2 linked regions of the Coturnix japonica genome follow. The protein of the gene in region 1 interacts with the protein of each later gene in a biochemical or structural test. Links are inferred from orthologs where the notes say so. Each region holds a gene or a part of one and is shown in the gene's direction. Other genes may lie near its edges.

What was found. The genes of interacting proteins can lie anywhere in the genome.
Region 2: the proteins of ETS2 (region 1) and ZMYND11 form a complex in vitro, tested with the Homo sapiens proteins (2 studies listed by BioGRID). The link is inferred for Coturnix japonica from reciprocal best matches to the Homo sapiens genes ETS2 and ZMYND11.

The regions. Positions count from the first base shown.
Region 1 is NC_029516.1:97,068,887-97,073,533, forward strand, and holds the end of ETS2 (protein C-ets-2), read left to right. Parts: intron 1-116; coding exon 117-235; intron 236-1,172; coding exon 1,173-1,388; 3' UTR 1,389-2,895; downstream 2,896-4,647. UniProt on the Homo sapiens protein: Transcription factor activating transcription. Binds specifically the DNA GGAA/T core motif (Ets-binding site or EBS) in gene promoters and stimulates transcription.
Region 2 is NC_029517.1:8,890,320-8,895,130, forward strand, and holds part of ZMYND11 (zinc finger MYND domain-containing protein 11), read left to right. Parts: intron 1-355; coding exon 356-433; intron 434-833; coding exon 834-926; intron 927-2,370; coding exon 2,371-2,458; intron 2,459-3,619; coding exon 3,620-3,675; intron 3,676-4,331; coding exon 4,332-4,409; intron 4,410-4,811. UniProt on the Homo sapiens protein: Chromatin reader that specifically recognizes and binds histone H3.3 trimethylated at 'Lys-36' (H3.3K36me3) and regulates RNA polymerase II elongation. Does not bind other histone H3 subtypes (H3.1 or H3.2).

The DNA.
Region 1 (4,647 bases):
ATCAGAGTAATGACCAGATTGACCTTGTGATCTGAATATGGTTGCATATACTGATTGTGATATGAGCTTGCAGAAGTATTAATTATGGCTCCTCCCCACCCCTGCTCTCTTAACAGGCAGTGGACCCATCCAACTGTGGCAATTCCTGCTGGAGCTGCTCACTGACAAGTCCTGCCAGTCCTTTATTAGTTGGACTGGAGATGGATGGGAATTCAAACTTGCTGACCCAGATGAGGTATGTGTTTAATTGAGCTGTACAAAAAGATTGAGGGTCTCATCTGCTATCTGTGGGCCTCCTCTTGACTATAAAGCATTTGTGAGATCAGACACTTGCTGAAGTCTCTTCATCTGCAAATACTTTACAGTGTGGTCAGGACTGCTGTGGGTTGCTCCCCCTCCCTTGGGATATCAGCATTTGCTTATAGTAATGAGAACACATTGCATAGCTTGAAACTTAAAGCATACAAAGTTAGATGTTTTGACAGGCTAAGCAATACTGTAGGCTAGCTTACTGAATACAGTTGAATCAGCAACGTCTGGGATTGCATGAATTCCCAGGGAAAAGGCGCTCGCGGTATTACAGCTCTTCTAGTAAACAGCAAATGTGTTAGTGCTGCTTTTTAAACTTGCTGGGAACTTATGGCTTCAGACATGAAAAATAAGGAGACCATGTTTTCATTTCCTGATTGTTGCTACCAGTAGGAAGATTACTGTATTAAGAGACATGATTTAAAGTCTGCTGAATCCCCTTTTATTTCAAGAAGGGAAGGGGAGTCATGAACTGCAAGGAACTTCCTAGAATTAAGCTTCCATTTAAAAAGCTGTCCCTTGCTGCTCGATAGCAAATTAAACCTTTAATTGTGTCCTGCTTGAGAGAGGTGATTGTATTTCACTTCAGCTTGTTCCTCTTAAAGACACTTGGGCCCATCGTCTGTAGGGAAGCATTCTTGCTGTCATTTGCTACCACCACTTGGTTCTGCTTGCTGTCAATGAGCTGCAATTCATGCTTGTCTTGGGGTTTGAGCCACCAAGATGTGGCTCCAAGTTTGGGACACCCAAACAAGTAAACTTTTGATCGAAAGGGGTTTTAATAGCTGCCTTTATCAGCTGCTGACCAGAAAAGTGTGACTTAAACAAACCCTTTACACTTGCTTTTCTGTTTGCACTGGCAGGTGGCACGGAGGTGGGGAAGGAGGAAAAACAAGCCAAAAATGAACTATGAGAAGCTGAGCCGAGGGCTGCGCTACTATTATGACAAGAACATCATCCACAAGACCTCAGGGAAGCGCTATGTTTATCGCTTTGTGTGCGACCTGCAGAACTTGCTGGGATACACAGCAGAGGAGCTGCATGCTATGCTGGGGGTGCAGCCTGACACTGAGGACTGAACCTGACCACCTGGTGCTGCACCAGCGAGGAGCACTTGTTGGGACTGTGACCAGGAGCCTTCTACAGTCAGTTCTTCTGGCTGTTCGGATGGGTTCAACTGTGATGAAATAAGGACCTTGACTGATTTTGTAACCAGGGGAAGTTGGAAGGAAGTGGCCTTATTTCATCAGTGGCTTCAAATGTTGCTGTGTCAGGTACTTGAGCAGCATGGAAGTTGATACAGATCACAGCTCTGTCAGGATGACACAGAAATGCTTTAGGGTTAAGCATTTTGACCACCTATTCTGCCGCATACAATGTTTTGGCTACTTACACTGCCATGTAATGATGGGTTGGCTTTAAAACCAAAGGTTGGATGAGGAAACCGGTGATGGAGCAGAACAATTGCTCAGATTCTTTTTTTAACACACCGTCATCCTTGCTTCCATCTCTTCTATCATGCAATTTATTTAAGAAAAACTAATTTATTTGAAAGGAGCAGTAAGAAGGATTGATATTAATGTTTTGTTCTCAAGCATGTTTTTTATTATTATTATTACTCCAGAAATGTGCTGCATAGGTACATCAACGCTCTGTGTCCTAAACCAGATGTAGCATCTCTTTTAAGAAAGGAAAAACCCCTCGTGAGAAAGGAAGGAAAATCATACCATTTCAATATTCAGTTTTGTATATATTCTGTGATTCTTTTTGAAGCTCCGTAATGTTCCTATTTAACAGATACTGTATAGTGTAAATTAAACTAATTGTATGTGTTTTGTTGGTTTTTTTTGTTGTTTTTTTTTTTTTTTTTAAATGGGACGAATGTAAACCTATTGAATGGCTATTTCATGTTTGTGTAGGGTATACAACCTTCTGCAAATATTTAATTGGCCTCAGAGACAACATAAGTACTGAGTATGCATGCATGTGGTATGCTGATGACATGGCATTGGGGGGGTGGGCGCAGTGGGAAGCTGGCTCAGTGTTTTGTTAAGACCGAAGCTGGCAAATCTTTGTGCATTTTGGCATTTTTACAAGAAACTAATATTATATTCCGGGACATTAAGGGCCTATTTGTGGTTTCTTCTTTAACTGAAAATGAAAATACTAATATGGATACGAATAACTTTTGTTTTTCCTTTATAAATGGCATATGTTTTTCAACTTCTATGCATGTCCTTTTAAAAAAAAAAAAACAAAACAAATTTATATACGAGCCTTATTTTTTCAGTTGACTTGTCTCTTCTTCCTGCAGTTTATCCTGTATGATTAAGATATGAATTCTATTTTTGGAATAACTGTGCCTCCTTTTCAGAGATCAGGAGGGATTTATGTAGCAGCTATTTTTACTGCACAAAAAGAAAGGGAAAAGAAAAAAAAAAAAACACCGTCAAACAATTCACTGGGAAAAAAAAAAATGTACTTTGTAAGAAAGCTTTATTTTTTACCTGAGCTTGGTGTACATTTAAATGTTGTAAAGTGTGAGAGGTTGAAAAATGAGTCCTTATTAAAACCTCTTGAACAAGGGAGAAGAAGGTATTGTGCTTCTTTTACCTCGGTTATTGCAGAGTGTAAGGGGAGGGTGGGGGGAGGAGGAGTTCCTCCAGCCTACATCTCTATGGGGAGAAATAGTAAGAATAGGGCAGTGAAGAGATTGTTAGAGAAAGACCTATAAGACTCTTGTAGGCTAATGGCCTTGGACCAAGTTAAAAGCTATGCCAGTGTTCTCTGTTTAGGTATAAATTAGAAGCTAATGCCTTTGTTCTCGGTGTTTGAAAGAGAACTGGCGGTTCTGAATTGTGTTGCATATTAATGTGTAACTATGAGTAAATATAAGGGAGAGCAGGTGTGTGAAGACTGCTGGTGCTTGGCCTGTTCCTGCTGCTGTCTCACACAGTGAGCCTACTGTTGTAGCTGTCTTGATCTCATGTTCTTCGCCATCCCTCCACGTTACAGAGAACTGGGAAATAAAATCAATAGGCTTTAAAGCATCCATTTAAGAAATTAGAATACGCAACGTTAATTGCTTTTTAAAAAGGGACTTTCCCTAGGTTTCTTAATCTTTCTATCAAAATGTGGCTGTACCTTGATCTTGCTTTCTGTACTATCACCCTGGTGTAGCAGCATGTTAACAACTTGGAGAAAATGGACTTTTTAAGAGTATACCTTTTTAAGTGTCTGGAGCTGAAAGGATAGGTCTCCATTTGCACTGTAGCTGTAGTCTCCATACATTTACAGGCAACTGCCAATAGTCTTACTTTTATGATCCCTGTGAAGGATAAGGAACCTCTTGCATCCTTCCTCCCTTCACCCCAACCGCTGCTGCAGGCTTAGGTTGCACCTAAGTGCTGGCCACAGATGGTCTCATTCAACCCCCACTAGTGTATCTTCAAAAGCAAAACCTGGTATCCCACACTGGGTTGGGTCAGTGCACTGGTACAAGCTGCAGCTCAATGTGACCCATTAAAGAGTATTTTGTCAGAGCACACAGAAAAACACTGCTCTGTTTTCTCAGCCACCCAGAGTCAAAGAGGTTGTTGAAAGTCTGGCTAAATTCTTCGTCTTCTCCAGGATATGCCTCCCTGCCCTTCCAGCTGCCAGTTTTCCTCTTGTGACGGCAGCCAAAATAAAGCATTGCAATTGGCAACTACCCATAGTTGGCCTGTCACCTCCAATAACAAAGTTTGATTTCAAAGCCCTCTTTGCTCTTTTATATATGCACTAAAAATAAAAATAGAATCTCATTCTAAAAATCAAAAAAAACAAGATACCTCCTCTGGGTTGGAAAGTCTGCAAGACACAAGGGCTTGATGTCTAGGAGGCTATTTTGAGAAATATCTATCTACTGTGCCCTATTCATAGGCTTAACTGCTGACCACAATCAGGTACAGCATAGGAGCATTAGAGAAACAGGGCAGATGATGGTTCACTCAGCCCAGTACTGTATTCCACAAGTGGGAGATGGGACAAGTAACCCTGTCCCTTCCCCATGTGTGCCTCTAACACCCTGTTGCTGCATTTGGTCTGCAGGGGGAAACACCCTGCCCACATCTTTTACCACCTACTTAAGAATTTCTTGCCTTGCTTGAGCTATAAGGAGGCCCCTTGACCTCTCTCTGCTGTCCTGTCCTCAAGCAGGAGGAACCAGCCCCTCACCGAGGGGCTCATGTAAGAGTACTCTAAGATTTCAACAGCAGCCAAACAGAGCTCTCCCCTCAGTATGCTTCCTCATGATGGAAGGCTCTTTTTTGGATCTTTTGGTACTGTACACTGAAGTGA
Region 2 (4,811 bases), on another chromosome or scaffold:
AGAAAAAGATGAATTATGAATTATAATGCCTTTCTTCATTACTTTATTCTAATAAGACACTTTTTCTTAATGTGAAAAGTTCTGGCAAAGTAGTATGAATATAGGGGGAAATAAAACTGTTAGTTTTTGTATAGCTGAAGTCCTCAGCCCAGTCGTAATTTAAAGCAACATGTCTGGTTGTTATGAGCTGTTAGTGTTACCACTTTCCCAGAGAAGATTTTCCCCTAAAAATTCTTCCGATCCAGTTTAATCTGGAATTACCTTTTCAAAAGATGTTGTGACACTGAGAAAATTTGTGCTGGATGAATTTTGAAGCCCCGGTTTAAAATGACGTGATGGCGTTTTTCATTGACAGAGCATCAAGAAGAAAAACACGAGTAAACAAGAGATGAGCACATACCTGCGGTTCATAGTCTCTCGTATGAAGGAGCGGGTGAGTCTGAAACAGGGACACGTGGCAGAGTGTTGTGTGCTGTAGGGGATGCAATGCAGCTGGTGTGTGTGACTGCGCTGGAAGAAGGCCTACAAGAGGGTGTCTTTTTATTTCCCTTGTCATAAGCAGTTTGTGTATTTCAACATACACTTATCATGTTTCATAGCTAAGGTTAATAGAATTGTGGCAGGAAGAGTTTATACAATGGGCCCATCACTCTTTTGAAACTGATGTTTTTCAGGTTTGAAGTACATTTAATGTGTAAGACTGCTGATCTGCAGCTGGGCCTTGTCTGTTCTCCACCTGAAATATTCCAAGCTGTTGCAATTATTTAATCTTTTGTATATGCTTTAAGCAGATTCTCAATGCAATAACTTGTACTGTCTCATGGTCCTTTCAGGCTATAGATCTAAACAAGAAAGGGAAGGACAACAAACACCCAATGTATAGGAGGCTGGTGCACTCAGCTGTTGATGTTCCTACTATACAGGAGGTAGAGTGATTTCCTTTCTAACTTCCACACTGTTTAGGTGTCTTTTAACACTGAAGATAAACCTTAAGAACTAAAGCACAATCCTGTTTAATTAATGAGTATTTCAGCTTTATGTTGAGCATTGAATATAGGAGCTTAAAATGTCATACTTTTCCTTATAAATAGGTATCCAAGTGAAAATGTCTTGGATGGTGCCTGTTTTTCAGACATTGAGTATTCTCAATTCCTTTCATACTAAGATTTTACTAGGAGCTGCAGGTAGCTGAAATCCTCTTTTAAAAAGTATGCTTTATATAGGTCATTGAATTTATTCTTTAGTGCCTGTGTTTGCATATCTGGCCCAATGTTTTTTACTATATTACATTTTTAACCACTGAGGCATTGTGTAGACATCAACTTGAGAAACATCTGAATGATTCATAAAGAACCCATCATTTTGTGGATCACAGAAAAACAGGACTCACTTAACATCTGTTTTGCATTAATTGTTCCAAGAATAAAGTTCTAGTATGTTCTTTTTTTTTTTTTCTTCAGAAAAGGTCAGATTGTGACTCATGTAAATGAACTACACATGACCAAACTGGATAGCATATCATTTTATTTATGGTTGTAGCTTGATTGCTATAACATGCTAACATATATCATTCTTTACAAAAGTAGATGTAAAAAAAAAACAACAAATTGCTTTATTTTTGTTACTGAAATACATGGATAAACAATAGCCACACTGACAGTTTTAGGGACATGCATAATGGGCTGGATTGAAGTGCCTAAAACTGAAAATAGGTCAGGTTTCCCTTTCACTGTGTCACCTTCGCGCACTTCCTCAGAGGGTCTTTTTGGCCTTGATAACATGCCTGAAATTGAAGACAGTTTATTTGGTGAATTCATAGAAGTTCTTCAAAGAGCATAAAAGAAAAGATGGCATCCTTACTAGAAAAAAGATCTCACTAGGTAAATTAACTGTGTGGCTCCCTGTGGGCTTTTGTTATGAGTTTGGAAGACTAAGGCAGTGACTGCCTCAGAAAACCCTCGCTGTCAAGTGAAAATCCTAGAAGTATAAAAGCAGTCAACATGGGTTTGAAACTGGCATGTATTTTAAGATGTAAAATCTTCACCTCAGGGAATATACCTTTATTTGAACAAGCATTTTGGATCACATCTTACTGCTTTTGTCATAACAAAGAGGGTTTGGTTTTTTTTTCTAACTCAATCTAACATTAAAGCAAGTATTTTACTACTGAGCACTGCATGAAGGAACCGATGAGGCCAGTGTTCAGGTGCTAACAAACCATGTCAAACAGCTGTAAGTATTACTTCTGTATGCTGGAAGGGCAGTGTCTGATCTGTATTGCATAATGTGGATTTCCATGAAGGCTTTTTTTGCATAAAACAGGTAAAGCACTTTGGTAGTTTTTTCACAATCCTGTTTTCTTTTGTATAGAAAGTAAATGAAGGAAAGTACCGGAGTTATGAGGAGTTCAAAGCAGATGCGCAGCTGCTTCTACACAACACAGTGATTTTCTATGGAGGTAAAGTGCTACATTTACTACTTACGTTATTTGGTTTATCTTCATCAATAGGAGGCTCAAAAGTTCAGGACTGGTTTCAGTATTTGATAATCTTACATTTAGATGAAGTTATTTGAAAGCCCTTACAAATCAAAGTAAGCTGTGAGAGGACTTGGTTGACGGCAGGGTCTGCTCTTGCCCACTGGCTACATGCCTATTTTCATCTTCTCTGCTAAGCCTATCAGTGGGAATTTGCAACTTTGCCATCCTGTTTCTTCTGCAAGCAAAGCCACGAGTTAATCTATACTGCAGGTTTCTTCCAGAATATGCGTGTTGCTTTGGAGTAGAAAGAGGTACAGTTTCTGATGTGCTGCGTCAGCAAAATCATTGGCAATATCTGCCATATTGCAACAGCGGATACATCTACATCCCCTTAAAAATACTGGTACCATCAGAAAAGCTGCCAGCCACTGTGAGGGTGTTTAGTGATTATTTAGTAAGGTGTGACAGTATAGATGGTAGGGAGAAACACCACCACCGCTTCTAGAAGTCAGAGCCAGGTCTAGTAACAGGGTTCTCCAGAGCTGTCTTTTCAGGAAGGATGTGGCTTGTGGTTGTCCCACACAGGCAGCTCAGGGGAACTGGGAGAAGGCTGGGACCAGGCCATGCACTGTGTCAGGCAGCCCACACTGTTGCTAGTAAGGAGAGTGCTGAGAGGGAGTGTTAATAGGGATGTATACAAGTGTCAGGGAAAACCCATAATGATAAACAGTTTCTGAAGCATTCTCTAAGCAGAAAACACTTATGAGATGTACCTGTGTTCATTCCAGTGGTGACTGCAGAGAACCATGTTTTAGGGCAATTACTAAGATGATAGCAGAGAAAGAAACTGGATCTGTATTTAGAACAACCATGTCTTGCTGCTGCTGCTCCTCAGATCTGTGTTTGTATTGTTTGGTTTAAAAGCTCCCAACAGTGTTTTTGCGTTATAAACACAATAGAGCAAGCAAATATAGAACTGATCATTAGAAAATTTTAAATGGAAGGGTTATCCAAGTGGCTGAATTACGTTTTGCATTCTAAAGCAAGACAATTACAGCATGAAAGTCATAGCAGCTGCAGATCTTCGTGAGCACAGCGATCGTACTGTGATTGTTCATAGCATTTATTTTTAATTTATAGCGGACAGTGAACAAGCTGACATAGCGAGGATGCTTTACAAAGACACGTGTCATGAAGTAAGTAGCACCAAGTAACCAAGATGTAGATATGCTATTTGCTTTTTGCTTTAGAATCTAAGAGAATGATTCTTCTTGTTATGAAAACTTGAAGTTCTAGCTACTGTTTCAGAATTGCTTTTCCTTTTTTTTTTTTTCTTTCTTTTGCAACTTGACTGTCATTTGGATAAAATGATTAAGTTTTAGTTTGGAAATAATGTAGTAATACATGATTGGACTAGAAATGATTGTACTTGCTTGCATAATTTCGGTCTAAAATGGGATTCCTACCAAGTTCTGTAATTGTCGTTGAAACACTTATCAATATTCATAGGAGACCGGAACATAAAGATGAGTTGGTTGTCACATTTGCTCAGTAGAGTTTTTTCTTTCAGAATGTGCTTTAAATTTTGATGAATTTAAAGAACCGTGCATTTTAGCTTTAATAAATCATTAAGTGTTCAATTAAGCCCTTCCCCCCATGCTTTTTGAAAGTATGAATAATGTTGCTGCATCTTGTATTTCATCTGCTCTTAAGACATCTCATTTTATACCTTGTTGCACCGAAGTAGTGCCACCCATTTAGCGAGCAGGGCTGAAAAACTCTGCCACTTACACTACTGAGCTCATACAAATGGGATTTTTGGAGTTTATTTATATCTGTTTTTGTTTTTCAGCTGGATGAACTGCAGCTTTGCAAGAACTGTTTCTATTTGTCAAATGCACGACCTGACAATTGGTTCTGCTATCCTTGTGTATGTTGCTGACACGTATTTTTGTTTGTTTTTCTGTATTAATCCCTGCAGTTTGGTCTCGTTAATGCATTGAATATTCCATTTCAGTAAGCGTGTTTCAGATGTAAGATTAAACTCTCCTAAGTCTAGATATTTAACACAAGCAAAATGTTGGTTGAAGGCTGTATCAATATGTGTAATAAACTCAATTATCAGATGGTTACAGCACTTTCACAAGAAAATAAGGAGTTTACAGAAATAAAACTTTAGAAAGGGACAAAGATGTGTTTAATTTGGGGGATGCTCAAGATATATGTTTTCAATAAACGGTCTTTTTTTGATGATAATTCAAGCAATAAATCTTACAGAGAAATATTCATTGTAAGAAGATAAAATTGAAAACAAGCATTAGATATAAACAGC